2 linked regions of the Oreochromis niloticus genome follow. The protein of the gene in region 1 interacts with the protein of each later gene in a pairwise test. Links are inferred from orthologs where the notes say so. Each region holds a gene or a part of one and is shown in the gene's direction. Other genes may lie near its edges. The genes, in order: mpp2b and lin7a.

Region 1 (16,708 bases):
AATGTTTCAATTAGAGATGCAACAACTGTCGTTTTCTTGGCTGATTCCAGCTTCTGATGGGTTTTTTTACACATGACCTGCCAATACCAATTTCTGCCAATTTCATTTTTCTTTGTAAGAGCTATAACTGATATAATAATAATAATAATAATAATAATGATAATAATTAAAGAAATGATTAAACTTAACAAATTTTCTTAAACTGCTGTAGGTTACAGGATCTTCTCTTGCTTAAACAACTGGAAAAAAGCGCTCTGCTAATGAAAAAAGATACCAATAGCTAAATGAATATTAGCTGCTGTACGCCCACCTTTACCTGACATATTTTACCCTATCAAACAAAAACAGGTCCAACTGATTTATATAACAAAACAGTTGTCGGGTACATACATTATTTTTCAGTATGCTTATAACTTAATTACATAACATGTCACCAATACTTTTCTCTTTTTCACTCATAAATGTTTTGATCCTTTGCTCATACCGAGGCTCTTGGCTAGCTTTAGCCACTTCTTTGTTCGTGTCTTTAAAATGACCATGTTCAGTTGGGCAAAGGCTCGTCTCATTAGGTTTGTGTATTTCAGGTCCCCCCCACAGTTTACTTTGGTCAAGTTTGTGTCACGGTGAGGCTCTATCATGCTAGTGACATTTTAGCGTGTGGGTGTGAGTATGCATGCAGTGATTTCCGTGTGCTGCATGCGGGCGTGTTGTATAGACACGAAATAGACTTTTAATTGTAATTATAGGAGGCCGACTGGCTGCCCGCCTGTCTAGGAAAACTGACCAATCCAGTCCCTGTCCAGTTGATCGGTGCATTTCTCATTCGAATCCACTAACCTGCATCTTTACAACAGGAACAAGAAACATAGATATCTCTGTCACCAAACAACTGACTGTTGTGAAGCCCAGCTGCATGCATGTGTGAGTGCAACAACATGATTGTCTCAAACAGTAGGTTTCTTTGTTTGGCTGGCTCTTTGTAGTAATGGGTTTTATGTAATTCTCCCATAGATTTATTTGTGGTTTGTTTTGGTGTCATGTGTCTTTTACAAGCTTAATTTTGGCTGGTGAGATCTGTCAAAATGTATTTCCAGGCTGTTGTGTGAATGCTTTTGAAATATAAAGCTAATCTGAAATCCTTTCCACAGACAAAGAGCAAAGCTGAGTTGAAGTGTAGCTCAAACACTGTAATAGACCCAATTTTAGCTCCAACTTATTATTATTTTACGCATTTTCCCTTGTTGCCATGGCAAAGCGCCGGGGAACAGAAAAAGAGCTGCTCACGGTTGTCTTGGATACGACAGTTTTCCCTTGTAAAGTAATGAGAGGAGCTGAACCTGTGGGAGCACAGGGTTATTTTTAGGCGTGACGCCAGCCTGCATGTGTGGATTAAGACTTGTTTGGTTGCTGGTGCTTGTGTGCTCGCATGTGTATCTGTATGTGCGAGCATGTGTGCAGGCTTTAATGCAGCCTCACTGTGAGAACACCTCAAGGCGTTTTACACTTGGCGTACAAACACCTGAGCCGCTGCTTGTGTCATTGCTCCAGGCCAAAGTGTCCTGGAGCGTGCAATTTCAGAAAAATTGGACACAGGCTTTCTTTGCAGTTGTATGCCATATATCTGCAAGCACTACCTTAAAGGAAATGGAGTTAATAATAAATTTATCACAGTGCATGGGGTTCACACAAGTGTAGGCTTACAGTCTGTGCAACAAAGAATTCCCTGAATGCAGAATTAAGAATTCCCTTCAACTTTAGGGATATTTTTAACTGACCTTTGCCCTCTTTATTCTGTGTTGCAGCAATCTCCAGAATAATGTTGTTCCACTGGAAATGTTGAGTAAGCTATATTAAAACAAATATAATTTTCTATCTACGTCGACCACAAGAACCAAACCTGCTTCTTGTTTTGGTGAACTGACAGTTGATGTAGAGATGATAGCAGGCCGGCAAATGTGATGTCATGACAGCTGCTCTCTTCCTGCAATACAGTGAGCAAGATGGAGATCTGCATGAGCGTGTGTGTGTGTGTGTGTGAGCTGACTAATGTGGACCCAGAAGGAAAAACCACTCAGAGAGCAGAGATAGTTTAGATGCTGCGATACAGTGGAGACACACTGACCCACAAGCTGCATGCAGGGTCTCTTGTAGTCTGTAGTAGAAAGGCAGTTAGTGAAAAATGGTAATTTTGAACAACTTCACCCTTAATGTTATTTTTGAGAAATACCTATTTTATCCTTGATTGTAGAGCTTGATTACTGGTTACATGTAACAGGCTATTCCCTCTGAAAATGGCACCAATTACCAAGAAAATGCCTCGGCTGGTTATGACCGCACCATCATTGACTCTCAACTAATTTACCGTATTAATATTACAAAAGGCAGAGTAGCGGAGTAAAAAGCTCAAAAGATTCGACTCTCTTCTCGGCACCCTGTCCTTCCAACCCTCCTGGTGTGTCGGTATCTTGCACGGCCAAGCTCTGCTGCAGTCGGCTTTGACTTCTTAGCTGCTGTGTGGTCTTTGCATACTTTTAACAAGCGCCGTCATTTCTCAGTGCAACATGGGATGCCTCGGATAAGCTTGGGGGGCTGGTATGTGGTATTAAGGACCTGATCCACTCGGATCAGAGTTTTGCAAAAGCCACGAGTTCTTTAGCATCTAAGAATGTGTTTTACTGTTACACTTTTAGAAACACGGCCTGTAGGTGTTCCCATCAGAAGTGCAAAGTTTAAAAAAATCACAAAAATTTAAAAATAAATGTGAAAAAAAAGTGAAATTTAACCATCTAAATAAAAGATTCAGGGGAAAAAAATGAACAATTACAAATCCCAGTAAATGAAACAGGATACACAGGCTGGATAATTAATATCTCAGACCCAAATGTCACATTTTAGTGGATAACAGAGAGGGACTCTCAACCATATTTCAATTTAAAAATGAATTAGTGGACACAGGCTTTTTAGTCAAATGCTATTAGAAAGGACAGTCCACCACCAAAGATTTCTAATTTTGCTGTCTCTAGCAGCCGTCTGAACAAATGGAGTGTAAAACGTCTGGTAGTGATGTTAACTTTCGGTTGTGTGAATATTGGCGCCCCAGTAGCTGAAAATATTGAGATTTCTAACATGTGTTTGACATTGTAAAGGGGGTGTATTTAAACCTAATTGACAGCAGAACTCAGCAGAAAACTAAGTAAAAATAAAAAATTCAAAACTTCTAAAGAGGTGGAAATGAATGAATTATCCAGAGAAGAAATAAGCTAGTATTTAATTTAAGGTTAAACAATGTTAACAGTTATAGTGAAGGGAATTTGTGGATTTGAGTTATATCAGTTATTATTTGGACAATTATCAGGCATTATACTTGTTTAGTACTGAATTAATATATTTTTAATATTTTTTCACTTTTCAAAATGATTCTTTTCAATTGTGTTCCTCGGGGTTTAAGCGGTATGATGTGTGAGGGGATCCACCTTCCTCTTGCTTCTTTAGCATCACTACTTGCAGGTCTAAGTAGGGCAGATCTTAAAGTTATTATTTTTTTGTGATGGCAAGACAAAAGAGGGAAGGAGGAGAAGTCTAACCAGAGCTGGTTGGAATGTATATGGTCTGAACAGTCTGATAAAGAGGTAACACAGATTAAGCATAACATTCTGACCACAGACAAGTGAAGTTAATGACACTGATTATCTCTTTATCATGGAAACTTTTAGCAGGTGGGCATGTTAGGAAGTGAACATTTTGTCCTCAAAGTTGATGTGTTAGAAACAGGAAAACTGTAACGAATTTAACAAGTTTGAAAAGGGCCATATTGTGATGGCTAGGCGACTGGGTCAGACCATCTCCAAAACAGCTGCAAAACTGCAGCTCTTGTGGGGTGTTTCTGGTCTGCAGTAGTTTGAGGCTACATAGTTACAGACCAGTCAGGGTGCCCATGCTGACCCCTGCCCACCACTGAAAGCACAAACAATTGGCACGTGAGCATCACTTGGGGATGGCCAGTTGTGTGTGTGTGTGTGTGTGTGTGTGTGACTCACGTAGGAAACACCTGACACCAAGATGCACTATGGGAATAAGGCAAGCTGGTGGAGGAAGTCTGATGTTTTGGTCAATGGAAAGCTTGGGTCCATGTGGATGTTACGTTGACACGTACCATCTGCCGAAGCGTTGTTGTAGACCATGTACGCCCTTTGATAGAAATGGCATTCCCTGATGGCTGTGGCCTCTTTCAGCAAGATAATGCAATCTGCCACAAAGCAAAAATGTTTCAGGAACAGTTTGAGGACCTTTAAACCAGGATCACTCGGTAACCAGTCAGGAAATACACATCAGTGCAGCAATCGTTGATGGTATCTAATATGGCGGAGAACTCTTGAACAATTTATTTGTGACGTCACTCATGAAGGCTCTGTACAAGATATCTCTCAATCAACTCTTGTTATTAGATGGAGTTTCAGCTGTGTGCTAAATCTGCAGCTAGGAAATCATCCAATCACAGAATAGTAATGATACATTGGAGCTTCTTCCTTAATACTGTCATCAACAATATTCATATGAATCACAAATCCAGAGAACAGTCCTTTTAGTGAGCAAAAGAATAGATTTGTTTCTCACTGATGCAATAAAAATAGCTTAATCCTATAAATACAAAATATAATAACTTTGTGATGAGATTGATTTGTAGGTTTAAACTTGTGATACTACTTGAAGAAGGGTTATTAAGCGATCTAAAAACTATAAAAGGGAGGAATAATGCCAGATTTGAAATAGACTGTCAAGCTACGTCTTTCAGTGGTTAATTTGAAAATATTTGAAACTTAATTATGACCACACCATCATTCACTCTCAATAAATTTACCCTATTAATATTACAAAAGGCTGAGTGTTTCAGAATAAGGCAGCTTTTTTGTCTTCTTTTCATATTAAACCACAAAATTGTCCTTGCTAAGTAATTGAGCAGACTATTAAACAAATTGGTATATTCAGATAAAACTCATGTCATACCAAAAAATTATTTTTTGTACTCTATGACGATTATTGAAGATCCTTTTTTTCAATGGCCCATCTCTTTTACATCCAGCCCTTGTGTACTGCTCCTCAGATCAAATACTGCCCTCCAGTTATAATCAATCCACAAAGAGGAATGAGACGAGGCCTTTGCCCGTGCAATCAAGCAATCTAATGAGAATATTTTCCATCTGTGCTTCATTATTATGTAAATTACTTTCAAATATACAGTTTTGGACACTTCCGGTATCATTGCATGTTAGAATTAAGTTAAAATGCACCCAGGAACAATTACTAACTGCAAAAAAATAATAAAGTTGCATACACTTGAAATTAACACGCACAGAAATGCAAATCAAAAATGCAAAAGCCTTTCTCTAAAGGCCAGTTACATTCAGTTGGGTTTTATTATTCCAGATGTGATATGATATGGCATGTCTGGGGGCAAAGAGAAGTAGATTCGTTACATAAGGCAAGCATAAATGGCCAAAGACCACAGACAGAATCAAAACACGCGGCCCAGTGGAACCAGTCGAACTAATAAAAGCATAATGATATACAGCACTTTGGTATCATTAGTATATCCAAACAAATCACTCTGACACTTATTCAGATGGAAGAGGTAGGTGTGATGGTAACACAGTAATCCCAAGATCCCTTTATTTTGGTAGATCATAGTTTTTATTACAGCGTATGCCATCGAAGTAGGCCAAAAAGCACAGTGGGGTCACATTAATAGTTAATAAGCTGAATCTTCAATCGGTGCCCTGGGATATGTTGATAAAATGCTGAGGCACAAAACTGCAGACTATATCTGAGCAAATATGATTTGGGAATATTTTGATCTCAGTGCAGAGAATGAAATGAGTAAGATTAGATACCGCTGGGCTTAAAGACATCTTTATGTTTGTGTTCACTGACAACTGATAGGCTACAAAAAACTGCTCTGAGTAGCTTTGTTATTGGAAATTTCAACCTAAAGGGGAGTTAAAAAATATCGTTTGCTCAGTAGTGGTAAAAGATAGAAAGACAGAAGTTTTTAGCTCATCCAGCTGAAGGACAAATGAGTGAGGCATCCAACATCCGTCTGTTCGTCCATCCATAGTTGACAGGAATCGCAACTTCTCTTAGAGTATGGGTCTGATTTTAGTAGACTGATCTGGTATTATTCTGGTATTTATTTATGCACACACACAAAAAGGTAGACGTAGCCACTGTGACATTACTACCTCAGCATCAGCATTATGGCCACACTGTCTTGGGTCTTTGGTACCAGAACTGATTAGATTTAGATGGCATATTGGAGTGCTCCATTGACCTTATGGATACATCTCAAAGATTCAGATACTGATTACAATAAAATAGAGACTGCAGACTTCTCAGACTGACTGTTAGTGCAGAGATCCAAAAGGCTCCAAACCCCAAACACAGTTGAGAGGTCCAGTTTGGTCATTTGAGTTAGTTTGGGTGAAGCCTATCATAAACCCCCATTGAAGTACAGTTGTGATGAAGTGTAAAGTAGTTACAGAGACAGAAATAGTTTTTTTTTGTCCGTTATGTATAACATATATGGGAGTCTGTGGGGGGAAGACTGACTTGTAAAACCAGCCTTCATTGGCCAGTTGAGGAACTGGATTTTTTTTCCACTTCCTGGAAGCTGCTGCTTGGATTTATTTTTATTTTTTTGTAACCCTGACAGAAAACATTCATAATGTAGCATTTTTTGTGCCATTTCTCCCCTTTGGTGTATAGCTCTTCAAGTGCTGGATTGATAAGAAGCGTCATCCCTCCAAATCAGCCATGTGACAATAAGGCTAACGTGGGATTTTTATGTTGCCAGACACAGACATTTACACACGGTGACCCTGTGGTGACATTGCTCACTTTTGACCACTACAGCATTTATTCCACTAAGGATAGCTATTGTCATGACAACCAGGAATTAGCATCCTTGGATAGTGCTGCCTGTCTCCTATCAGCAACGCTCTCTTCTTCCTCACCATTGTTCCCTCTCTCTTTAACTCCCTTGCATACGTTTCAGTTACTTCCTGCTTTTTCTCCTCCTCTTATATTTTCAGTTTCTCTACAGACATGATTCCCCTTCATTGTTCTGCTCAGTTTATGTTCCCCCTCATTCGCCATGTCGTTTATTTACTTTTCACTGTTTGCATTCTCATAAATTCTCCATGACTTGAGGAACCAATTTTAGATCCCAGAACAATAGATCGTTAATCCTGCAGTCTTCTGCCTGCGACGCTTGTTACGTTTTCATGACGATAAATGGATCAATTAGAGTCAGCAGAGATCCTCACTAAGCTAGTGATAACTGGCCTTGCTGAACCCACTCACAAAGTCTTTCCAACTGTTGCTAATGGTATTCCCAACGGATACAATGGCTAAAATTGTTTAGATGTTACCAGGGCAACTAGCTGTTCTGTTTTTAGATCTTAATAAAGTTAAATACCAATTACCCTGTGTGGGAGCTTGTTAGTGTGAATGTTTAGTCCATTGACTGCGCTTGTGCCAGAAAGGGATTTGTACACTAAGTCTTCTCCTGATCACTCAGTGTTGAGCTTCAACCTAACAACACAACTTTACCCTCCGTCGCTTATTTCATTCCTAATTCTAACCCAGCAGTGGGATAGATAAAGGTTTTAGTTTTTTAATGCATCTACCTTCTCGTTTTGCACTCTCTTTTTTATTGCAGTTGACCTAACAAGTCTTGTGGAGGATACTCAGAAGAACCAATTTCTAAAATGCCCGTGGCCACATCCAGCTCTGACTCGGGTAAGTGTCTCGGTCTCGCTGTGATGATTGCACGAGTGTGTGTGCGTGCGTGCGTGTGAGTGAGTGAGTGAGTGAGATATTGAGAGGGAGACAGTGGTTAGTGGTTATTCTTTCAGTCAGTACTTGTATCTCATCTCCAGAGTGGTAATGTGACTTAATGAGCTGGCTAACCGAGCGGTAAAACGCCGGTCCTAGATCAGTCATGCTTTAAAGGATTTGCCAAATGCCTGATAGCTGAATAGTATACATCGGTGTATACATAACTGCAAGTTTTCAGATGAACACACATTTGAAACATAAAGTGACTCTTTTATTAAAGATTGTCACTGAAATAGCAGGACGTGGAAGAGATTAACCTCCAAGTGTCGTGTAAGGGTCTTGCTTACTTTGGCAGTTAGCTTTTTTCTGTTCAGCTTTTTTGAACTCTGTAGATCTGTAGTCAGTCAGTGCCTGCTACAATGCAATAAAGTGTACATTCATTGGACACTTCATTAGTTACTAGGAATGTCACGATATCAGAAATTTATTAGTTGGAACCAATACCCGTATAACCACATGATTCTCACTATCCAATTTGATAACACATAATGTTTAAGTACATGGGTTGACCATTTTAAAATCTTTTATTAAAAGGTTGTTTTAAAACATGACAGGGTGGCAGATCATTTATTTAAAATGTTAACATTATACTTGGCTGACAGATGAAATCTGAGGATGGTTGCAGACTAAGCTACTAGTGTTACAGTTACATTATGTTAGTATTAGTACACAATGTTAGCCATTGCTAACATTTTTGCCTGAAGAAAAGTTGACTCACAATAGGAGTGCCAGCTGCAGGAAATGAAATGCATATTTCAGTAGAACTCAAGGATAACACTTTAGCTATTGTTACTGTGAAAGTTGCTGAGCTTGAGTTTTGTGAACAGATCTGGATGCTTGCTTTGCTAAATTAAGAATATTTCCTCCTTTGATAGGAGAAAGACCACAGCATGATTTTCGTATTGTCTTTTGCGCAGCAATCATCGTGGCTTGTCAAAGCAGAGCTACCGCAGCTGCACTAGTTGCCATTTTCAACATGTGGTTTTTCCTGTGCTTGTGGGCTTCCTTCCTCGTGTTCAGATTGTAGGCTTAGACTAGAACACTTTAAGCCATATGTTGCCCTCTTCAGCTCTGGAAGAATTGCCACCTTGACACACACACTGACTATGGTACCTATGTTACCATGGACAAGGAAATATCATGGCGTTTTCAGAATTTTGAGATTGAATTTTACCATAATTATGGATTGTGGTGACATTATCCATCAGATACACCTTTCTTGTACTGGGTTAGACCCCCTTTTGCCTTCAGAACTGCCTTAATTCTTCATGGCATAGAGTCAACACGGTGTTGGACACAGTTCTCAGAGACTTTGGCTTATACGATTTGTCAGCTACCATCAAACCACATCCCAAAAGTGTTTGATTTGAGCATAGTAAAGTAGTGCATGATCCTTCTGGAAGTGGCCATCAGAAGATGGGTACAATGTTGTCATAAAGGGATGGACATGGTCAGCAACAATAGTCAGGTAGGGTGTGGCCTAAAACCAATGCTCAACTGGTACTAAGTGGCTCAGAATGTGCTGCAAAAATGTCCTCCACACTATTACACCAGCTGGACCAGCCGGAATCATTGATACAAAGTAGGATGGATTCATGCTTTTATGTTGTTTACATCAAATTTGAACCCTACCATCCAAATGTTGCCCTTGTGAATTGTAGCTTCCTTTTGTCTAGAGCTGGGCGATATAAGATTTTTTCATATCACGATATGTTTTTTTCATTTCAGGCGATAACGATATATATCACGATATAAGCCAAATAACTATATTTGTAAGATTTAAATGTGCCATTGCTCACAAGTAAAATGTGAAATAATCAGCAGCTTGTTTTAATTAAAATATTTATTTCCCATAATAAGTTCAACAGGGTAGATGTACTTAAGGAACATGAGACTTCAGTTTCAGATAAAGGCAAATATTGCAAACTACACAAAAGGCAGCCGCTAAAGCGTTTAAGTTTCAAAATAGAACAAACAAAACAGACTAAATTGTCAATTCCACTTAGAAACAAAATATTAATTCTAAAAATAAATCTTAGGTCGTTTTACAGAAGAACAGACAAAATTGACTAACTTTTGTCAATATCAAATAAACTGAGAACTAAAAGTTAATTCTTAATCTCTCCTTGTTGTATAGCTTAGCTTTTCAAACAGTTTTAACAGTGACTTTAGTCTGACAAAAGCCGAATGACGAATTAGCGCTTTCAGTCAGAGATTGAGCATGCACCGCTTTATTGTATTTCCAGACTTGCTTTCGGCACAATTTACAGTGCGCGCTACTCTGTTTTTTGTCAGACGTGAAATAGCCGAAATACCTTCACACTACGGAACTTCTGTGGCCCTTCGGTTCGACAAGCTCTCCGGCATTGGAACCATCATCGTTTTTTCTTCGGTAACCTTCGCTCACGCTCTCGGTTGATTTTTGTCTAGTCGGCAAACTCATTTCCTTCATTACCCGGGCTGCACGGCTGCAAAAACAAATACACATGTGCGCCTTGGCGCTTGTGCTGTACGTAACAAGTCACGTGACGTGACGCTGCGGCTGTGATTGGTTCGGCTCTGCGCTACTTAATTTGGATTGGCTGTTCTTTTTTTTTTTTTTTAAGAGGACAAGAGAGATGAGGTCTATCGCAATAGTTTAATTTTTCTATCGAGAAAAAGTTATTTCGCAATACATATCGTTATCGTTTTATATATATATATAAAGTGATAGGAGTTCACACAAGGGAAGCAGACCATTATACACAACCACTGCTCATTAGAAATGATCAATAATTTAAAAAAATGTTAAGAATAAAGTTAGTACTCAAAATTAGTTGTGGTGAGGTTTTTAATTTTATTTGTAAATTTAAAAAAAACTAATAAAAGGCTTCATTGTGTTGTTTGGAGTAATGTGGGTATGCCTGCACATTTACACATGCACATCTTCCTTTATAAATACTGATATATGTTTGGGAAAAAGTGTTTTTTTGTGCGTACACATAATTTTTACATCCGGCCCGCATGTCTGGGAAAGTCACTCCAGTGTGTTTTTTAACACGGGGCCAAATCTCAAATCCGCAGCCTCAAAGTATTTTGTTATATATGATAGTAAATTCCAGCAGTCAGCTGCCAGAAAAGGAGAGGGAGAGAGAAAGAGAGAGAAGCATTTTATACCAAGAATGTGCGTTGAGTCTTTTGTGTAATAGGCTGTCAGTCAGTCTTGATTTGTGCACTAGCCGAGGGCCGAGACTCGGATGAGTGGCATTTTTAGTAACACGCAGTCGATTGTTTCTCTAAACCAATTCATGTCTTTTTTTACATTTAAAAAGCAGCATTTCCAGCAGGGATATATTTTGTTCAGACTTGGAGAAGGGTTAAAGAAGGGTCAGTTATTATTTGAAACTTTGCTATTTTTACATTTATGTCAGTGAAGTAGCTCAGATATAAATTTCCCAAATAGATCATTTCACTTGTATTATATTTAAAAAAGTCAAGTCTGTGATTGTTCCTCTGATAATAGTAATGGCAAGCTGTAACAAAATACACAAGTGCGCTCCCCAAGCGCCACTTCTTTGACCACACCTCCTTCTTAAAGCCAACCCTCTGCTACTCTCTCCCCCCACTTGACCCCCATGGGGAAACCTAGACAGGCAATTTTCCTGGCTCCTCTTTACCCTCCTCTTAAGGAAAGCATCACACTTCGCTCCTCTCTTTCTCCTCTCACGTCCCCCCACCTTCTTTCTTTCCACATGCACCCAGCCCTCCCTCGTCTCCGTTCATTCATGCTGAGGAGAAGACGCTCGGCCAGGCATAGCTTATACACATTCACGTCAAGAGCAGGTGGAGAGGGAGGGAGGGGAAGAGTGGCGAGGTGCCTTTAGCGAGGAGTCATTTTGGCGGAAAGAGGAGGGAATCAGGGAGCGATAAGGAGAGAGAGGGAGAGGAAGATCTCTCAGACTGCCTCTGATACAGTATTGGGTGTGTTACTGAGAGTGTGTGTGTGTCCTGTAGTGAGGTGTTGTTCACCATGGCTGGCAGCCTGTTTGGAAGGCTCTCCCTGGAGGAGGGGGACTCAGCCAACTCCCTAGAGGGCCTGGATATCAAGCTGGAGGGAGAAGGTAAGAACACAGGAACTTGCCTGCTGCGAAGCAATATAGGGATTGTTTATAGCAGTTCAGGTGTGTGTGCTGTTACTAGTTAGGCAAGACCTGCTAGACGCAAGCTGTAATCAGCAACCAATTCAGTGTTATAATGTTGGTGGTTGAGGACCAGTTGGTGTTTGAATTCATACTGCACCTGCTCCTGATGTGCTGCTTCATGTCTCCAGATTGTGATGACGATGAGCAGAGACAGAATGGGACCCAGGGCAGCATGCGATGTAGACGAATCCCAGGCAGCAGAATGCAAAGACATGTATTCACTAGAACCTTTTTTGCGCCACGGACCGGTTTATGCCCGACAATATTTTCACGGACCGGCAATAAGGTGTCGCGGATAAATACAACAAAATAAAACTAGTGCCGGTACCGAAAAAAAGAAGATTTATTCATAACACACGTGAAAAGACCCAGGAAAACCGAGTTAACGATAAAAACGCTAACAAAATAACGCTGAAAACCGATAAAAACCCTGAAAACCATACATTTCACACCTGAGCCTCAACTCTCGCGGCCCGGTACCAAACGACTCACGGACTGGTACCGGTCCGAGGCCCGGTACCAGCTGCACTAGAATACATCATTTCAACACAGAGTCCGTTTTTTTCTTTTAATTTAATTTACAGAGATTGTGAAAGGAGGAGCATTAAACTGAGAGAGACCAATTTAGATAAGCCACAATAAAAAAAAAAGAAAAAGAAAAAAACTCAGTGTAAAAGCTAATTTGTTGTACTGGATGATAGTGGCCAGACAATGTTTGTTAGCATAGCACTGAGTGACAAGTACCACACAACCCATTTATAATACATGGAATTCATTAATACTGGATAAAGTTGTATACCACATAGTAATGTGGTATCTATTCACGTGGGTCCCTGTGGTCCATGCATGGGCTGCCTGTCTTGGCTAAACAGTGGATATCAGGTGAGGGGGATAAGAACTGAAACAAGTATTTGATGCTGTCATGTTAAATTAGCAGCATCATTACATCATTGCCAAGTCTAATTTGTGTCACACAGTATACTGTCTTGCAAGATATCCTCCGCTTTTCAGTGTGTATCTTGACACGACAGCGGTGACAGCCGTAATGAATCATATTTTCAGTCAATGCATTTGCATCCTGTCTATCAGTGCACAGTGAATGAGACACAGAAAAGGAGGATAAAGAGAGAGACCTCCAGTGCATTGTACATTCATGGTGAGTAAGTGGGTGGGGGGGGGTCATTCATATGCAGCGGTGTTCTGATCAGAGACAGCACGCTTGGAAGTGTCACACTCACAACCTTCAGATAACTCTCCAGCTCTTTCACTTCCACCCTTTCTACACACACACACACACACTCCACACATCTGCGGGACAGTACACAAACTCTCACGCTATCGGAGGAATATTCTGTGTGCCTACCGGACTAATGAAGCAGTGTTCAAACACAGATGATGGATCATTGAGTACAGTGTGTTGGTAGGATTACACTGTCAAAGATAATCGCCGGGTTTCAACAGAAAGGGACAATTTAATACGGTTCTGGCGGAGAGTATTCGATAATGTGGTGACACTGGCAATTATTTCATCCGTATCACACTCAGATGATCTCGGTTTGCTCTTTCATTAACTGTTGCCAAAGAAAACAGATGTACGGTTTGACTCAAACTGCTTGCCTGCGTACAGCGAGCTACATTGATAAAGTTATTAGCGTTAGTTACAGTGAGAACGTAACACAAAATCATCTTTTCGTTGACACTTTCTGTGGGGGGTGAGGGGGAGGGGCTGCTGTCCAATTGCAAAATGTCAACAAATATCACAAGTGTTGTCTCCACTGGTGACCTTCATACAGCTAATAAGGCGATCTGACCTGCATCCATAGCATGCCAGCTTGTAGCAAGCATCACCATGGTGATAGGGAGGCTGCTTAAAAGTCCCTCGTCCTGCTGATTGGCTATCTGGGACCTGGAGAGAGAAGGTCATGATTACTTCCACTTGAAGTGTTGCCTTTTATAGGACATTCACCTACACTGTTATAGCTGTTAGACCACTTAGAATTTTTTAAAGTCAAGCAAGGATAATATACAGCCATTATCCAGCTGATAACAATGCATTATAATATGTTGCCTTGAAAAAATGAACACCATTTAGGGGTTATTTTACAGAGATATTTCACTGATATTTCTGCTTCGTTTTTTTCATAGGAGCTATTACAGTTAAGATTTTTTAGCGATGAGGTCAGGCAGGAGTCTCAGTGATGGTTGCAGACAACATTGTGATCTGTAGTGGAAGTAGAAAACAGGTAGAAGGGGTAAGGAAGAGGTGGAGGGATGCATGGGAGAAAAGAGTAGAGGTAATAAAGGTGGAGGATGAGTTTAAATAGTTGAGGGCAACCATCCAAAGCAACGGACAGTGCGTAAGAGAGGCGAAGAAGAGACTGCAGGCAGGGTGGAGTGGGTGGAGACGACTGTCAGGGGTGATTTGTGATACAAGGATACCAGCAAGAGTGAAGGGAAGTTGGTAGTGAGACCTGCTATGATGTTTGATTTGGAGACAGTGGCACTAAATAAACAGGAAGCTGAGGTAGAGGTGGGATAGCTGTAGATGTTAAAGTTTTTTGCCAAAAGTGACCAGAATGGAGAAGCTTACAAAAATCTACTTATCAGGCTCTTATTGGGGATTGATGAAACAATCCACTTATATTTTTATCCAGCTATGTTTCTGTAGGGCACTCCTTTTTTTGTTGTGCATCACTTCATCTCTACTCCATGACCAGGTTTTGTGGCCATGCACGCACTGTATCTGACTCGCTGCCCTTTTAATCTGGGGAAAGTAGATATTAACCATACGCGTGCTGCGCTTGCATCATGTTTTAAACCACTCTGTCAGGCAAAAACCAGAGTCAGAATCACAAGTTGGAATTTCTGACACTTGTTAAAAAACACAAAAACCCACACACAGGCACACGGTCCCTGCAGCATTATTTATATAAAGCATTTAATGCTTCATGTAATTCCTTCATGTAATTCAGCTGCTTCACTTAATCTCATCCTGAGCAGAGGCCTTATCAGCAGGAAGTGACAACACCTGTGGGTGCTGATTATTTTCCCAGTACCTTAATTTCACATCATGACGTTTAAGTCCAAAACTTAGAACTGTGTATTATGTGTGCAGCCATATTAATGCAGTGGAATTATTATTATGTTTTTAAGGAGGAGATCTAATTATTTATAGGCAAGTCTCTACAAGTAGCACACAAACAAACGCACACATGCTGATTGACCATGCAAGTAAATTACACAACTGTTGTGCCCACACATGCTCCAGACGACATTATTACACCTCATCATTACGAGCCTGTTTTCTTTTTCAGTGACACTCCACGAGGAGGATGTTGACTTAATAATCCAGAGTTGAGTGCGCGTGCCCCAACCGTGCGCTCGTTCTGTTTGCTTTAGTTGTATTTTGTACGCTCTGTGTTGTTGTTCCTGAAGGAATCTCATCAGACTGATTGCACTCAGAGGGCTTCAAGCTGCAACACTGTGTCATGTTGGAAATATTCATGAATCCCATTGCACTGGGATAAATTCATCGAATGCTTTGGCCTTAACGATTCATCAGTTCTAGCACGTACACACCGCATTGGAATATATTCCAATTCAATATCATTCTCCACCAGTGTCTTAAACATTTATCTTTTGCTACCTGAGGGATTGATAGTAATTATATTTAGCTGGAGAGCCGGGAACCGAATCAAATCTAAAAGCAACATAAAAGTATTTAATAATGTCTTTCAAGGCCAAATAGTATTTTCTTTTTTATAGAGGTGACTTCCAGCAACTTGCAGCGACTTCTAGCAGCTCTTCCAGGAGACAATGAGAATATCAATGAGCTTCTTCAGGAATCTGTCTGTGTTTCACGGGACAAAGCAGGTGTTGTTACTGGCTGTGCAAACTGAGAACCTAAACATTTACCTCATCCAGTGCAAGTGCCCTGATTTGTCACTGCCATGCATTTGCCAATACGGACTTTCAGTGTCCTTTTAAAAAGCTGTACTGAATTTCAATCCACATTTGAAATGAAAAAAGCCCATATTTTGAAGTACAATTAACCCTGTGAGGTCTTAGTCATTACCCTTAACTCTATTCTATTAAAAATATTGTTGCTTGTTTTCTTTTCTTGGCTGTTAGGGGTCAAAGAGGTGATCAGTCTTATAAAAAGACACAGGGCTGTCTGTGGACAGACATCACAGGGTTAATTATACTATTTGTTAGAAAAAAGTAACCCACTTGCTTGCTCATTACCTGTTGCCAAAAGTGCTCCTTTAACTGACTTTTATTCATCTGGCTCTGCATTCTAAAACACATTGTGTATCTCAGGCGTATTAAGCAGACCAGACTGTTTTTACAGCTAGAAACAACTGGGAGTAAAGAGTCAGCTGCACACTGTACTCCTCTGTGAGTACTGTAATACCCCGTGAGGATTCCACATAGAGAAACAACAACACATCTGCATCTCCCACATATTTTCCTTCCTTTTTTTTTTCCACCCTCCCGTAGTTCCTCTGTGTATCCTCTCCCTTTTTCCCTAACTGCTGCTCCATAGCAACAGAATAACCTTCACTGAGAGGTCCTTGCACCCTGCTGTGCTCCAAACGCAAACAATAACAGCCCAGATTGTTTGGCTGCGTCCG
Region 2 (17,092 bases), on another chromosome or scaffold:
ATCCTACTTTTTGGAGCTTAGGGGGGAGGATAGTACTCAACTTTTGGAGTACTAGTGCAACCTGGTACTCCATTACAATGTCCTCTCCATGCCCCCAACACACGCGCATATACACTCATCATCATCACCTACATACACACAGTATTGTTTACCCAAACATATATCACACATCTGACTCTTGACTGACCCCTGATTTCCTAATTATTCCTCAAGCCTCATTCTGGGGCCCATTCTTCCTCACTGACATGCTCATTAAGTTAACTGTTCTCACTCTCACAGGGAACTGCCTTAAATGTTCAATCATATTCTTTCCCTCTGTAAAAAGGAAAAAATTGCATTTCAGTAACTCAAAAATGGTCCAAGGAAGGAACAATGGTGACCCACTGACAGCGTCATGAGTGGCCAAGGCTCAATGATGCACATGGGAGAAGAATGCTGTACTATCAAATTGCCAAAAAAATGTAATGCTGGTTCCCTTCTATGTTGTATTCTGTCACCATAGAAAAGTATCAGAATACACAGTGGATTGCCGTTTTTTGGGATATATGGCTACATAAAACCAGTCAGTGTCCCCATGCTAGCCCCCAACCACTGCCGAAATCAAGAAGAAGGAGGACATGAGCATCAGAACTGGACTGGACAGAATTTCTTTTACATCATATGGATGGTTGGGTGCGTGTGCATTGTTTACCTGGTGAACACCTGGCAGCAGAATGCACTATGAAAAGAATGCAAGCCTACTGAGAGTCCATGCCTCCACATTTCTGTTTCGAAAGGGGGCTCCATACAAAAAGGAGGCAGGTGGTGATAATTTAATGCCAGATAGATATACATCCCACCAATTAATGCTTTCAAAGTGTTACCATATAGGGGTTCTCCTGGGAACTTCCCTGCTCTAAATACCTGATTCGAATAATCTCCTGGGTAGTGAATGTTGCAGCTGTCTGCTAACAGCACCCAGGATGATGCAATAACCAAAAATGTGGTTCTTTTTCTGGGGTCAACGCGATTCCATAGACTTTCCATCAACAGCAGGGCCGTTTGAAGTCCGTCACCCGTCTCAGCAAAACTACCAATCACAGAAGAAATAGGCGTTCCTCCAGGGATCGCTAACAACTTAATAACCAATCATAACAGAGCTGACGTTTCCCCTTCCCAAACCAACCAGTCACAACAGGATAACCCTCCAGGTCATCCAGTTGTTAATCCCCCCCCCAAATACAGTGATAAGTTACAGTAATCGGACAGTATTAAATTACAGTAATCGGACAGTCACGCACATAAAAAAAGTAAAATGACGAAGCTATGTGGGCTGGACGCAGAGAAAATAAACCACAATATCGTGGTTTCTGTGTGAGTTGTCCAAAAGTTATTCATTACTAAGCAAATAAAAACTTCATGGTAATGAGATTATTGAGGGCGTGTATCCACTCTATGGGATATTATCATACATGAGAGAACACGTTGATTTCACTCATGAGACAGGTGGCGGTCACGCACAGGTTGTTCACCACGTTTCATTCCAACTCGCCCACACAACATTTAACACCAGCTGTTGTGCAGATCACGTGTAGTTCACGCTGAAACTTACCAGTTTGGGAACACCGGATCCTCAACGTGTAGAGTTTTACTCCACGGCTCAAACCAGTTTATGTCGCGCCCCACGTCAGCCCAAAACTTCTCGGGGTTGTCCCTGGCCGCCGCGAAGACTCGGCCGTACGCAGCATCAGACGCATACTTTCTGCAGCACTTCGTGGGGAAGTGCGACTTAAAACTCCCAGATGCTTCACCTGCGTTTCGCTTTGCTGCTGCACAGAGAGTCCACGCAAACCTCCCGAGTGTCTTCTCCCGCAGGACAGGAGCGCCGTTATTCAGGCGCTGGACTGAGTGTTTTAGCCTGAGAAGCATTGTTGCTGGGGGCGTTTTTTTGAACTTCCACGCTGCTTTCCCGCGTCCCTCTTGTTTTTGTGTGCAGCTTTGGAGCCCGCTTCTACAGTTCAACGCTGAGCGACGTCATGCGGGCCCACTTAAAGGCAGAGAGGACTTCTGCAGAAATTCTTAACAATCGCCTCAGGGAAGGCTGTGAACTATGAACTGGATGTAGTTGCTGCAGGAGGAGTTTTGAAACGCAGTCAGCGTGATTACACAACACATAAGCTCCACCGCAGCTTTCTTAAACCAACTATTTTGGGTGGAAAATAATCCCAAGACATTTTTCTGACTTTAAGCAATAATTCTGCCGTGCAGTGCAAAGAAGAGAGGAACATTGTTGATAGTAACTCCTGTCCACCAGATTTACTTATTTATTTATTTACTTTTGTTTACTTCCAGCATCATTAAATTTTTAATTGTCCTCGAGGTAATATCAATACTCCTCCTTGAGTGGAAAAATGCAAATAGCCCCACATCTGCTAAAACTGATCATGGCGTGCATTCATTTGTTTGCTTGTGGGCATTTATGGGAATAATTACTCGTGTAGGGTCATTTAAAAACCTTAAAAATATTTGCATCTTAAATTAAGCCGATTTTCCAATACAATCACAGCACATGAGCAGCGGCAGCAGCTCTTTGTCCTCTCACATTGTGCCGCCTCATGCACTTCTTTCCCTATCACTGGTAAATACCCATAATACAGCTGACCCCTTGAAGAAGTTTGCCCCTCGTTAAGTACCTCATCCATCTGATATTTCAGATCACCTGTTTATGTTTATATGTGCTGAGCAGTGCTTGCGCTGTCCAGTACAGGTGTTGCAACGATAGTTTCGATATCGGCGCTGATATTGGTATCAGAACGATATCAGCATTATAGGATCGATACTTTCTTTAAATCCTATGTGTTTAGTGTGTAGTCCACTGATGTTTTACATTGATTATTTTTGGTAATGAAAAAAATATACCTCAAACGTGCGCTATGAAAAATATCTGGACCTTCTTGTGTTGACTGTGACTTCTGTTTTATTTATAGCCTCCTACAGCACATTTAAACACAGGGGGATCCTTTAGAGACAGGAACATTTACATTGCTGTTTACATCTCAAAAAAAAACCCATGGTATCAGATGGATACCAAAATTTGCACTGTGGCACAGCACTAGTTTCCAGCAGAGATGGCCAACTTGAGTTGGATTGCAGCTGCTGCCTCTATGACACTTGTTACCATTTGAGTAAAAGTGGGGGGAATAAAAAGTGAAATCTTTATCCCAGCTGACAAAAGATATCAGTAATCAGCAACTGATTGATGCCTTCTTACACCCATCACCCGCACGTCTTATCCTGCAGGTATTTCAGCGTAACAGAACTATAATTTTCTTTCTTTTTCAGTTTTAAATTAAGTATTGATTCAAATTTCATCATATTTCAACCATGCTTTCTCCTCTCATGCTATAATTTGTTTGGCCAAAAGGTCTCACTAAATCACAGTTCCCCCAAGGAACTGCCATACATATATATATATAAATATATATTAGAGTAGATGCTGTTGGCTGAATATGTATCATTCTCTCTGGCACCTTACGTGCATAGACCGCTATCTATTAACCGCTTTCACCGGCTAATCAGACCCTAAACTTTTCATGGCTTTTTATAAGCCCTCCGTCTTGATTTGATGTGATGAGTGTGAATGTTTCAAAGCAGAAATCAGCCGACTGCCCTTCAGAAACCGATGGAGAAATGATTCATCACTCTAGCCCGCAGTGTCTTAATGTAGTTTGAAAATCAAATTTGTTTGAAGATAATGATCGCTGTTTTACATTCTGAATGGGTTTTAGATGCAGTTGTCAGAAAGACTAACGAATGATTTCAGTCAATATCATTCATGGTTTTAAGTGAGTGATACTTCATAACGGTTTATTAGAGCTGAGTGAATTTACTTTCAGCGATTGCTTCATATACAAAATACTAGAGGCACCCAATCATTACAGGAAATAAATAAAGGTGAAAGCCATTTCCCCTTGTTAATTATGCTCTTAGTGCATTAATGTTAAAAGAGGAGATGAGATGAAGTTGGACTGAGGTATATTTAAAGGCTTTGACAAAGCTCAATATACATTGGGATGTATTCATGTTTTCAGTTTGCAGAAAGCATCAGGATGGAATTATGATGCCATCACTCAATCAGCCATTCCTGCTTGACAAAGTAAATGGGTGCTGTTTCCCTGAAGGGGGCGTCAGTAGTCTGTTAGAGCATGGGTGCCAAATTTGTTTCTGTCCATGGGCCACCTACAGTTCAGTTTGAACTCTCAAGTGCACAGAGCACTTTATTTTGAAAATAAAAAAAAGAGACAAAAAAAAATACAAAAACAAAACAATTCTGAAAACAGTTCTTTCCCCTTTAGTTTTAATGTAAAAATGTGCATTCTGGAAAAAAAAAAATCATTAAATGAACCGTCCAGAAAAACATCCTGAACATCCTCAGATGTCTTAAGAATAAATATATCTCAGTTTTCCCGCATCCATTCAGTCTGCTGTCAGCACAATGAAATGCTGCTGTCATAAATCAAATAACAGTGTCAGCACAGTTCCAGCTCTGTGACTTAACCACCTTACTTCAGTGTGATAAAGCAGGTCATGGCAAATGTCTTTGCCAGTAAGAAGACACTAACACTGCTGATCATTCAGACTTCTGGCTCGAATGAGTTAGTTTGCACAACCAATCGGATTGCATTGTCCATTCTAAACAACTCGCAGCACAGTGCTGACTGGTGCAAATTAAACTGAAATGTCCGTTCTTTCTCTTCTGTTTTCATCTTTCTGTCTCTGCAGAGCTGTCCACTGCAATGGCCTTTTTAATGTGCAGATTATAGCTGACACGCCATATGTTTCACACTCTGAATTAGAGGTTTAAATCCCATAGTGGTGATGCCGAAGTGGGTCACAATCAGTGTGACAGGCTTTGTTGAATATAGTATTTGAAGAAGGTAGGGTTCTCTGGCGTGCCTGCCTTCAGAAGGCCAATTACATTCACCAGCCACTTTATTGGTACACTTCGTGAGTATCTGGATTCTTTTTGCCTTCAGAACTGGCGTAATTCTCCATGGTATAGATTCAATATGAATAAACATTCATCAAAGATTTCGGTCCAGATAGCATGCCATCAGAAATTGTTTACACTATGATCATCAAGGGATGGAGATAGTCAGCAACAAAACTCAGGTAGGCTGTTATGTTAAAATGAAGCTCAGGTGGTACTAAGCAGCCCAAAGAGTGGCCAGAAAATATCCTCCACACCATCAGACACAACCAAGAGGCTGAGCTGTTGGAGGATGGATCCATGCTTTCTTGTTGCTTGCACCAAATTCTGATCCTACCATCTGAATGATGCAGCAGAAATCAAGGAAGGGGATCTAGGGGGAGAATCCCAGTAGATCAGCAGTTTCTGAAATACTCGGACCAACCAGTCTGGCACCAACAAGCGCGCCACATTTAAAGTAACTTTAAATCACCTTTCTTTCACCTTTCTTTCATGCTTAGTTTTAACTTTGTCTTAACCTTGTCTGCATGCCTAAATGCAATAAGTTGCTGCCATATGATTGGCTTATTAGATATTTGTGTTAATGAGCAGTTGAATAGATGTACCTAATAAAGTGGCCATTGAGTGTAAATGTCTCATAATTTGGGTCTTTTTTCTTAGCAGATATTAACAATAAAGAAGAAAGCTGAGGTTCCGTCATATGAACAACAGAACAGTAGATTAACAAACTCATGGTTATTTCCAAACAAGGGTGAGTTTTTGTACTCTACTCTTTTTCCCCCCCTGGTTATCCACACATCCAAAGTTTGGAACGCCCAAACTTTGAGACCCACTCACAAAAGTGCATCCTGACTTGCCTTAAAACAAAACTTTAAATGTGAGATTCATAGTTTACACAACAGCCTGGAGAAGCGGATGCACATCACCATCCTTCACTTGGTTGTTCATACACAGGAAATTAGTTGCATCAACTTGTCTCGTTAAAATATAAATACAATTTTAAAGAATTATCTGTCACATGTTTTTCAAGATGATGTTTTTTTCATTATCTGTCTGGCACCGCCTGATGGAGCAATATAAGCAACCGAGCTGCTGTGGAAAAGCAGCCTGTCATCTTAACACAAAATATCCAATAAATACTTTATTTTCGAGACGTTATCGCTCAACAGGAAATTTTCATCTTTTTTTTTCCCACTGTGGCATGCCGGATGGATCACAGTCAGTGCGGCACAAGGATTGGAATCGATGGTTGACAAATTTAATAATGGCCTGTTTTAATAAGCAGTTGTTACCTGGAAATGAAACCCATGTTATCATTTAGTGAAATACTTTACTTATTTCCCTACTGTTTTAGAAAAGCTTTTCTTCCTGTGTCAACATAACAAAATCTAACCTTTATGGATTTTATTAGCCTTTTATCAAAGCCATGTGAGTGATATTGATCTTTTTTATGAATGTGTTGCAGGAAAAGGAATAAGGTTCCAATTTTTCCCCAAATGTCCATATGACCTTACCTGTTGAATTCAATTTGAATGGGTACTGATGGGAATTGAAGATACAAATAGAACTTGCACACTGGCTAATGCTCTGAGCTTTGATCTGCTAGGCAAACAGTCCAGCCGTCTGTATTTGCCCTGTCCACATGGCCTCTTGCATCTCCTTCCGTGGAAGTGGAGGCATTTCAGAAATCAATTCACTTGCAGCTTTGTGGCTTAAAGACCAGTGCGGCATAATCCCAACCTCTTAAAAAAAGCAGACCTGTATTCCAGCCCATATAGATGGAAGCCTGTAATCTCGCTGTGCCCTCTTTCTGTGTGCTCTCTAAGCCCTCGCCCTCTCTATCCGTCCATGCAGCCTACCACTCACCACTATTTTGCATCTGCACACAGCTGGGTGGGACTGTTGGTGGACTGAATTCGCTTTTACTTATGGACTATGTATTTGAAGAAGCATGCAAGTTTAGAAACTGTTTAAATCAAATGCAGAGGAAGCGGTTAAACATTTAAAACATTAAACATTTTAAACATTTTATTACAATTTTTAGATATAGCAGCCAATTTGAAGTGAAGTGAGGTAAAGAGGTGTAGTATTTGCCTCCCAGCTGGGTGTAGACTAAAACATTTAGTGCAATGCATGACAAGATAAATAGGATTTAAGTAAAATGTCTGTGTTTATGAGCCTGGGTTTTGCTCTGAACAGCTGTGCACATGTTAGTATAAGTGCTAGTCCTTGCCTCAGGTGTGTATTGATGTTTACAACTTGCATTTGTCATGGCGAAGTCACGGTTCGTGAGCCATGTGACACGTCATGCTGCCTTAGCATCCCTCCAACCTGGGAATCTCTTCTTATTTCTGTTGAGCATGGCTTCTGTCAGCTGTAATGACTGCCCATGTATGAGACACGCCAAAGCAGCAGGCGCCATTAGGCAACAGATCTACAGTAAATGAAGAGAGCCAGCGGTTTGGCACCATTCTGTGGTAGCACATAAACATGAGGATTAATTCTTAAGCCCTTCAACGTAGGTTCACTACCGTCATTCGGTCCTTATCTGGCTGTATGCAGTGCATGTAGCCAGGAGAGAAGATAACAGGCAGTATAGCTCAGTGGTTCACAATGAGCCTTCATGGCAAGCTTGGTTGCAATCACCTGATCTCTGAAGTGCAAGGATTATAGCTGTGTAAGTGTTCATGTGTGCACAAAACACACATGTGTGCATCATTGTGAGATTCAGCATGCAATCCAGGTCCAGCTGGTTGACTGCAATATGGTGAAACTTTTCAAATACATTACTGTGACAGATGGAATACCAATTTTGACTGTTTTTCAACATATTATTAGCTTAATGACTAAGGTCCGCCATCCCTCTTCTTTTAAAAGGTATCTTATGTGTCCCATGAGAGCACTAGTCAGGCTACCTCTTGTTTTTATGAGCCTAAACTGAGTAACACTCCTGATGTCAGCATGCAGAGCTCTCTCGATATTCAGGAGTTTAAAGATCTATCTTTTTAATTTGGCTTTCAACTTGAAGTACTGAAGTGCTATATCTTTATGCTTAGTTGTTAAGGTTGTAATGTATGTTTTTAATGTCAGTTTTGCGTATAATTTCATTTATGGGCTTGCCATCAAAAGCACTTTGAGATGCCTGCTTTTATCAAAGACACTTAAGTTGAGTCGAGTCAAGTAGACGGCAGTGAATAGAAAATCATCTTGTAGTAACGGTGACTAGGTGTTACTTCAGATTCTAGTGTTGAATCATGGCAAAGGTAATGCCCTTCTATGTGGTGTTTGGTTATTCTCCTCACACCTCCGTGGCCTCCAACTGCTCCAGTTTGTCCAACAATCAAAACATGCTGGGTTAATTTTCTTGTAATTGTGCCCTTGACCAAGGCACAGGCTTGAAGCGTGGAGTTGATCCCATGAGCCCACTGCCTCAAATACTTAGGATGGGATAAATGCAAAGAATTGCTTTTCCTACAGGGAAATAAAGGGTCTCTCACTCTGTGAAGGCCATGAGAGGCTCCAGCCTCCCTGCAACCCTGAATAGGATAAGTGGAAGAAGATGGCTATGATAAACTGTAAAAAATAAACATGTTCAGTAATATGTGGACTTAAATCAATTCAAAGACGAGGTGTGCTCTGGCAATTTTACATTGTCAGTATTCACAAAGGCAGGTTCTTTAAGAAATGGCTCACCCTATTTGGTATGCAAGAAGACAGAGTCGTGCACAGAGTCCTGACTGTAACTCTGTCCAACACTTTTGTGGTGAACTGGACTGCCTGGAAGCAGGACCAGTGCTTTTCACAAAACCTTTTGTGATTACGTAAGAGTAGAACATTGCAGTTAAGTTCCCAAACGCTGCTGAAAACCCATCAAGAAAAGGGAACTCTGTTATCACAGCTGCGGCCTATATCCTGTTTTTTAAACAATACGTTCAACATTAAAACTTAGAATACAACATGACCCCATTCTCTGTTAAACTTACCACATTACTCTTTCTCCTGAAAAGCTGGACGTCTTTTATTTATTGATTTCATTCATTGAGATAAGCTTACATTAACTCAATTTTTCAAATTAAATGTAGCTTGCAAAACGAAACGAATCATATGATTGTCAGACTGCAGTGCTATATGATCAGACGTTTTGTCCCCCTGTTGGCCATTAGAAAAAGTGCAGAGTATGGCAAAGTTTTCACAAGTCCATATTTTATATACAGCACATGATTAATCCAAAGATTGTGTATTAAAGATAAATCTAGCCACTGTGACCTCTCAGAGCCCTGTTGTAAAGCACGAAGGTGCTTTGAAACCAGATGTGAGGAATCCCAAAAGGATGATTCTGTTCATCTGGACGTAGCGTTTTCATCCAGATGAACAGAATCAACCTTTTGGGATTTACTTACCTGGATGATTGAGCATGCATCAAGACAGATGTGAGAAATATGTGACACTAAGATACACTGCATCCTCATAGGCAAGTGATTTGTAAATCATTGTAAAACATACCCTGCTTTAGTCTACCTTTTTAATCTAAAGAAGTCCATAGTTATTCAATCGAACATTATGGTGTATTCAGTGAGGCCCCAAACTAGCATTTGCGACCATAAACTCATCGGGAAACAGTTTCCTGAGATCACAAGTTAAAGCCAAGGTACTGGTGCAACCATAAGAGTCTCCCCCTGCTGGCCATTAGAAAGAGTGCAGTTTTAAAGAGCTTCCAACACTTTTTTTGTAGACAATATATTTTTGATCTAATGTAAAGAATTTTAAAAAATTAGTGTATTTTTTGGTTTTTATATGTTATCAAATTAATTTTATCCAAATGATTTTTTAATTTTTTTTTAAAAAGCCAAAAAAAACCCCGTGAATACTATTTTTCATTAAGAGCGTAAAACAGCAGCGCATAAAGCGCAAAACAGCTGATAACAGCACCGGGTGACGGAGATGGATGGAGATAGTCTAATCCTCTCCCAGCCACTCCCAACCTCTCTCTCTCTCTCTCTCTCTCTCTCCCTGTGATGCTGCAGCTCCTGTAGGCTCTTCAGTCTCCAGTAAACAGCAGTCATGGCGACAGTGGTCCAACCGCTCACACTGGATCGAGGTAAGGCGATCGGAGCTTTGCATTCTGTGCATGTCACCGGAGAGATTATTTTCAGCCTTTTTTTCCCCCAAAAACTTGAGCGAGGATTTGGTTAGATTCTGATGTTTTCTGTTTTTTGGTGAGTGTTTGTCCAGCTCGGATTTCCTACACATCGTCTGCGCGAGTCGCTATTTCAAGGCAATATGAGCTCTGGCTTTTCTAAATAAAAGCCCGTCGGTTCCGTCCGTGTATTTTTCCAGACCGGAGCGCTCAGTTCTTTCGTCAAACTACCGAGGGGGTTTCTGCGAGCACGAACATCTGGAAATTAATACCCTTAAACCACTTACAAGGGGTCTCGTTTAATTTCATCTGTATTATGTAACCCCTTTGGCAACATTGTCCCGTTAAAGCTCGCTTTTTGATCTTCATCTGGCGGAGACAATAACGCTCAAATCCTAAAGCGCCTTGACACGAAAAATCTACTTTGTTAGACGGGAGATAACTTCTCAGGCTATCTGAACTGGACAGGTGCAAGACTGGCTGATTGGTTCCCTCATCAGGGTGTAGATGTTGTGTTTTGTACTTGTTGGAAGCGGTGTGCAAACAAACCGCAGTTGAGGGTTAATGTTGTCCTGTGATGATGTTGCCTAGCCTGTTTTGTTAAGAGCTGTTAGTAATTACAGACTTTGTAACTTAGACACACATTAGTCCCCTGATCTCATTCATAAGATACAATAATAATGCATGTAGGCTGATAAAATGTTCATTTTCCCACCTAAAGATGCTGTACAGATATTTAAAATACACTAAGGTCTCTCGTAATATAGTAATTCCTCTGGGAGATTTGAGGAAGTACAGAATGTCCTGTACACTTGAGAAGATGCCCTTTACATCTCAACACTTTTATGTTAAAGGAGTCGCATATTCAGACCAAATGCAGATCCGCTGGTGAAATGTAATATTGCACAAGCCTTGCATAGGGAATGGATACTGTCAAATATAGAGAAAGGAGAGAAAGGAGACACCTTAACGCTTTACTCTGTGCCAAGTAAAGCCAGCGTCAGCTCTCCTTCCAAGCCACACGAGGGACTTATATAAATACTCTTATTAATTATTCTGTAGGGATTAATCTGACTGATGTCACTCGTTATTGGTGATTTAAGTAATTAACCACATTAACATCTACTGCTAAAGAACACAATTTTTTTCCCTTCCATATGTTCAATTTGTTCTTCAATGAAATTTAATGTCTGAGGGCAGTGAAGCTTTACAGGTGCACAATCTGCTGGGAAGCTGCAGAAGTGCTGTACATGCAGAGTTAATGAAATGAGCCACAGATTGAATCCGGCAATGAGATAAACAATGCAACCTAAGCTTTTCCCACCCATGTCTCATAGTAGACTATAGATTTATTTTTTAAAAAAGAGGCTCTGCTAAGCTGATAAATAGATTTTTAAACAGCAAGGCAAGGAGCGATGTCCTGCAACTTGATAAATTGTCAACATTCAGCCATGTCTGATCTTAGTCATTTGCTTGGGCAGTGACTCAGCTGTGACCTTCGTGTGTACACACGGGGCCTGATCCATACCCACAAGCTGGAAAATGCAGCTGTAATGGCACAAACAGTAGTAATGATAGTTTCACGCAGGAGCTGTCAGAGGCAGGCAACATTATAGGCTTCCTGTCCTCGGATCCTGCCACTTTGGTGAAAACACTATAATTGCTAATGAAAAGGTGCACTCCTCTCGTTTCTGGGTGGAGGCTTTTGCTGCCGAGTTGCTGAGTTTGTCAAATGCACGCAGGGAGAAAAGGAACAGAGATGTTCATTTCCAGAGCTCCCACTTGGCTTGCGGGGTCACAGCAGGATGAAAAGATATTACATCATTGGCCTTCCTGTTATTGTCAAAGGAAATGACTGTGATAAGCAAGCACCGTCGAGAACAATGGATTTGAACCTCGCTGTATAATAAAAAAAGAAGCCTTTTATTCTCAGTAGATCTGGCATTTATGTAAGTGCAAACTGACACACCCCGGAGATGAAAACCTTTCTGTATGAAACAGTGAGAGCAGAGGGCACTGTGACTGAAACTTCCACAGATAAATTTAAACATCTATCAGGTACGGCTAGGTGGCAGGACCCAAATGCAGGACTCAGAGACAATGCTGTAGCTTGAATGCTTGAAGAAAAAACAAGGATACAAAAAACCAGAAACTCCCAGAAGCAGGAGAACAGGAAACAAGGACGTCAAAGATAGCATGAGTGGACGATGCGACAACGAGCAGAGGAAGACTGAGGACTAAAATGCACACAGGATAACGAGAGGATGGGCAACAGGTGGCAACACAGCTGGAACTAATGCAGACTAACAGGACAGGGGAAGCAAAACTGAACGCGCTGTACACTAGACACGAGACTGTCAAAATAAAACAGGAAGTATGATAAACACGGAGATGAAGACTAATCCACAGAGGCTTGACTCGGGGACCGGGGAGAAACAGACATGGGGAGATGACTGACTGAGGAGACAGAGAGGGAACATCAGACACAGAGACAAGAGAAAAACAAACATGAAGACGAGACTGACTAAACACATGAGAAGACTAGACACTGCGAAAAAAACTCAAACACCACACAGAACTAAAGGCTAACCGAAGCATACTTAAAACATGACGTAAATATAACTATGAACCTAAGAATCACATAGAATATTCAAAAAATAAACTGCATATTGTTCAGAAACTTAGTACCAGTACCATGACAACGCCGGCAACCTGCATGTTTCCAGTGAAATGCTTACTCGCTGATGGCAGGATAATGCTGGCCACGTTGTCCATTTCAGTTTGGTGTGTTACTTTGTGTTACTTGTTAACTGATTGTTTTTTTGTGAGTCATATTCATTATTTTATAATGGTCTGCCTGGTCCAGAATTCAGCTCAGAAAACATTGAACTAATAAAGCTCATTTGCTGAATTGTAGTCCTTCCATTTAATTGCATTAAAGTCCTTCACTTTATAAAAAATGTCTGGAATGTCCAGCCAGCAGGGGTGACCACGCTGTGTCTAAAACACTGCTTTTGTAGACATCTGTGAGAATACAGCCTCAGTAAACACTTTCCTGATGAATTTCTGGACTAAATTACTAATTTCAGGATGTATTGATTAAAACATGAAGTCAGTTTTGTACGATATTGTCGTTATTGAAGTCAGAGAGGAGGATTGTCCATACTCATCAGCAAATGACTTGTAATTTTAAGTTGCTAGCCAGTGAGTATAAAGTATTCTTAGTTTCACAGTCAGATCCTCTAATCACTCTTTACCTGTTGATTTGAAACACAAAGATGGTGACAGTGACAAAGGATCCATCATCAATCCATGATGTAATGGCAGCTACCGCTATCTTTCATTTACAGTCTTTAATTGAGCAAAAAGTTGATGGAGATTTTCATCAGTTTAACCAGTGAATGATGTGCAGTAGACACTTGGCATTATGTAGTTGGTGTTAACAATAGTGTGGAAGTCTCCCCTCAAAAGTCTCCACTGTTTGCAGTTTTCCGAGCTAACAAGTTAACCCTGAGCCTGTGGTAGGAAGATTAGATGTTTGTTCCTAGCTCTTCTGCACCACATGTTATGGGATGAAGACACTGATCAGTTCTTTATCCCCACCAGTCTGTTCATTTAGAAGCTGCAAAGCAATCTTTATTCGTCCCTCACTTTGCTGCCATTGTTCATTTTAACCCCAAACGAGTTGGTGATTACGCCTGGGCTTCACGCGCATTTCCACAAACCCAATTGTTGGATATTGCACTGACCATAGCTAGAAGGAAGATTTTAACTCTTTCCACTCACCTTAATACCCATGCTGTATCTGTTTTAGTTAGTACAATTTCTCCATTCAGCCAAATACAAAAACATAGATGCAAAGTTGTTGAATTTAGCTGCTTGTTACATAGGTTTACGGTGGCCATGGATTAGAAGGTAGAGTTAGAGAAGGTCATCATCAGAAGGTTAGTGGTTCATTCCATGGGTGCTCCTGCCAAAGTATCCTTGGGCAACAATCTGAATTCTGAGTCACTCCCAGTGTGAAAGTTAGATAAGACTAGATAGACTAGATTACAAAAGTTGGATAAGATAAGTTAGATAAAAAGTGCTTAGACAGAGAAAAAAGTGTTTGTGTGAATGGGCAAATGACACATGTTACACAAAGCGTTCTGATTGGTCAAGCAGAGTAGAAAAAGCACTATATAGGAACTAGTCCATTTGCCATTTACAGGTTGAAACTGTGTTAGGGGCGAAAGCATTGGTTTATCATTGTTAGAAGATTGCAGTTATGTTCCTTGTACCTACAGCTGTACAGCATGTACAAGAAAGTAGTTTCTCAGCAGTGCATTTCTTCCTGTGAGGTCGTGATCAGTTCAAATGTCAACAGTAGAAAGAACCCGTTCCTTCCCAAAGTATGAATCATTTTGTTTTTCTTCACTGTGTTGCAGGGACCTTTGGAATAGAACAATTTTTATACAGTTTATGTCTTCTTGTCTTAGCACAGTGAAATGAATAACTGCGAGATCTGAGGGACCGTGGTGAGTTCATCCATTTGAGGCTAGAACATATTTCCATCACATCCACTCAGTCACACCGCTGTTTTTAAGGGATTAAGGAGGTGCTGACAAGCTGACGTCACTTGTAGCTGTCTATATTTTAAATGGCCTCCTGTTAATGCAGAAATAAAGGTTCTCTCAGTAATTGTCTTGGAGGGACATTGCCCAGTAATTACCCAGGATGAAGACGACAATAAGACTGTGATGTTTTCTGGCTCTGTTTTCGCCACAGGCTCCTGCAGGAGCCATTACCCTTCTAGGAGTGATTTATTTCTTGTGCTATAAGGGAATCGCTGCAGTTGGACAAATTAAAGCTTATTCTCTTGGCATGGGGAAAGAACTTGGTTGTCCCATTTTTCTGTATTCAGACTGTGATTTCTTTTGTTTTTATCACTGCCTTTAGCAGCAGAGTTGCCAAGGGCACCCAGGTCAAAGTGGCAGCGGCAGATGGCAAGGACTTTTCAGGACAACTTACTCCCAGATGCATGACATCTGGATAGCATTTCTCAGGGTACAAAGGTGGGATTCCCGTCAGAGAAAGGTCATTAGAGACTTTTTCTGCCTGTCACCCTCTGAGATGGAAAGCAGCATTTCATTTAGAGTTAGTATTTGAAAAGAGGATCTCAGGTTTAAATCTCAACGTTGCGGTTTAATAAGCGCAGACAGACGCGGACGTGTTTATTTACATTGTTGCAGTTTTGTCAAACTGACACTTCTAAGTACTAAAAATGGATTAGGTTAAGTTTTGTACACTGCTATAAATGACTAATTATGTCAGGAAATGGGAACGGAGCCCAGTGCAAAACATCCCCTCAACAGTGTTGTGGAGCTTTGTGGAGCATTGAAGCCTTTATTACGTGTTACTGTGGCTTTGTTCAGCTCTGTGCCTTTTCTCTAATCAACAAATGATGAGGATGACCTTTTTTAGTCACAGCCTGATGTTTTCAGGGTATAATGCCACACAGACAGTGGCAGCTATAATCATTTTATACCGCAATATTTGTTTTAGATATTTTTTCACATTGTAAAATTTAAAATGAGAAATATTAAACTATTGTTCTAGGTATGAAAAGTTTATTGGACCAAAAGTGATTACATCATGTGTTCTGTTCAATATATAAGTTGTTGGTTTGTCTACAAGCTGCATTCATCTCCAATTAATACTCCAGATACTTGCTGATTGGTGACAGCATATTGATAAAATATTTCAAGAACTTCAGTCATCCAAAATAACTAGAGCTAGCAGAATTTACCACAAAGTAAGACACAGTATTTGTCAGAGAATTAAATCATTCAAATGCTCCAAAAGATGCTAACAACACAGACATGGTTAAGAGGTCCAATGTACACCTCTAGAAATAGCAATGTAAACAAGCAAGCTAGTAGTTAGCTTGCTAACTATTAGCTAATTGCTAGCAAGCTAATAGTTCGCTCTAGTTGTTTTCTAATATTAGGCTGTTAGCTTATATAACCTCAATTCTCAAAAGTTAGGGCTTTATGGAATATAAATAAAGACAGAATGTCATAGAGGGAAAGATTAGCGATAGAAACCAAAACTGTTCTTTGTACCAGGCGCCTCTAAATGTGTTTATTTCTGTTTAAAGTTGGGCATTGTAACAGGGAGTCTGTGGAGATTGACTCACTTATAGAGTTAGCCTAAAGTGGAAGTTAGAGGAACTGCAGTTTTGGTACTTAGAATTTTTTTTCTTGTTTTCATCTTTGTAGTTTGGCACTTATATCACAATCTATCAACAAATCCTCAGCTGGGATCTCTTATAATGCTGTAGTCAGTTTCTTCCACTGATTATGTCCCTATTCAGCAGTTTTCCTTATTCTCCTTGTCTATTTAATTTTAATTAGTTAGAAAGTCAAGAAAGATGAAGCTGAAAGAAAGAGTAATAGTTAAAGTTGGTGAGTTTACATGCCTAGGGTTAAATTCTCAAAGCAATGCATGGTTCACAAGAGCGGTGAAGAAGAGAGTGGAGGCAGGGTGGAGTGGGTGGGGACGAGTGTCAGGGGTAATTTGTGATAGAAGGATAGCACAAAGATTGAAAGGGAAGGTTTACAAGATGGTAGTGAGACCTGCTATGATGTGTGGTTTAAAGATGGTGGCACTATCATAAAGACAGGAGGCGGAGCTGGAGGTGGCAGAGTCAAAGACGTTAAGATTATTATTGGGGTTGGTGGGACGGGCAGGATTAAAAATGCATCAGAGGGACAGCTCAGGTTGAGCAGATTGGAGGGAAAGTAAGAGAGGCAATGCTAAGATAGTGTGGACATGTAAAGAGGAGGGATAGTGGATATACTGGATGTTGAAGATGGAGCTGCCGGGCAGGAGGAAAAGAGAAAGACCACAGAGGAGAAGAAGATGCTCAGGTGGAGGTAGATCATCTGCTGTGGTGACCCCTAAAGGGAGCAGCCTGAATAAGAAGAAAGAAAATCAAGAAAGAA

The links.
Region 2: the proteins of mpp2b (region 1) and lin7a interact in binary tests that used the Homo sapiens proteins (3 or more experiments, as listed by UniProt). The two-hybrid records come from large-scale screens. The link is inferred for Oreochromis niloticus from reciprocal best matches to the Homo sapiens genes MPP2 and LIN7A.

The regions. Positions count from the first base shown.
Region 1 is NC_031973.2:19,988,433-20,005,140, forward strand, and holds the start of mpp2b (MAGUK p55 subfamily member 2b), read left to right. Parts: upstream 1-7,714; 5' UTR 7,715-7,763; coding exon of another isoform or gene 7,764-7,794; intron 7,795-11,886; 5' UTR 11,887-11,902; coding exon 11,903-11,993; intron 11,994-16,708. UniProt on the Homo sapiens protein: Postsynaptic MAGUK scaffold protein that links CADM1 cell adhesion molecules to core components of the postsynaptic density. In CA1 pyramidal neurons, required for synaptic KCNN2-containing channel function and long-term potentiation expression.
Region 2 is NC_031981.2:15,753,375-15,770,466, forward strand, and holds the start of lin7a (protein lin-7 homolog A), read left to right. Parts: upstream 1-9,929; 5' UTR 9,930-10,030; coding exon 10,031-10,067; intron 10,068-17,092. Other genes in the region: acss3 (acyl-CoA synthetase short-chain family member 3, mitochondrial), read right to left, coding at 1,592-1,908. UniProt on the Homo sapiens protein: Plays a role in establishing and maintaining the asymmetric distribution of channels and receptors at the plasma membrane of polarized cells.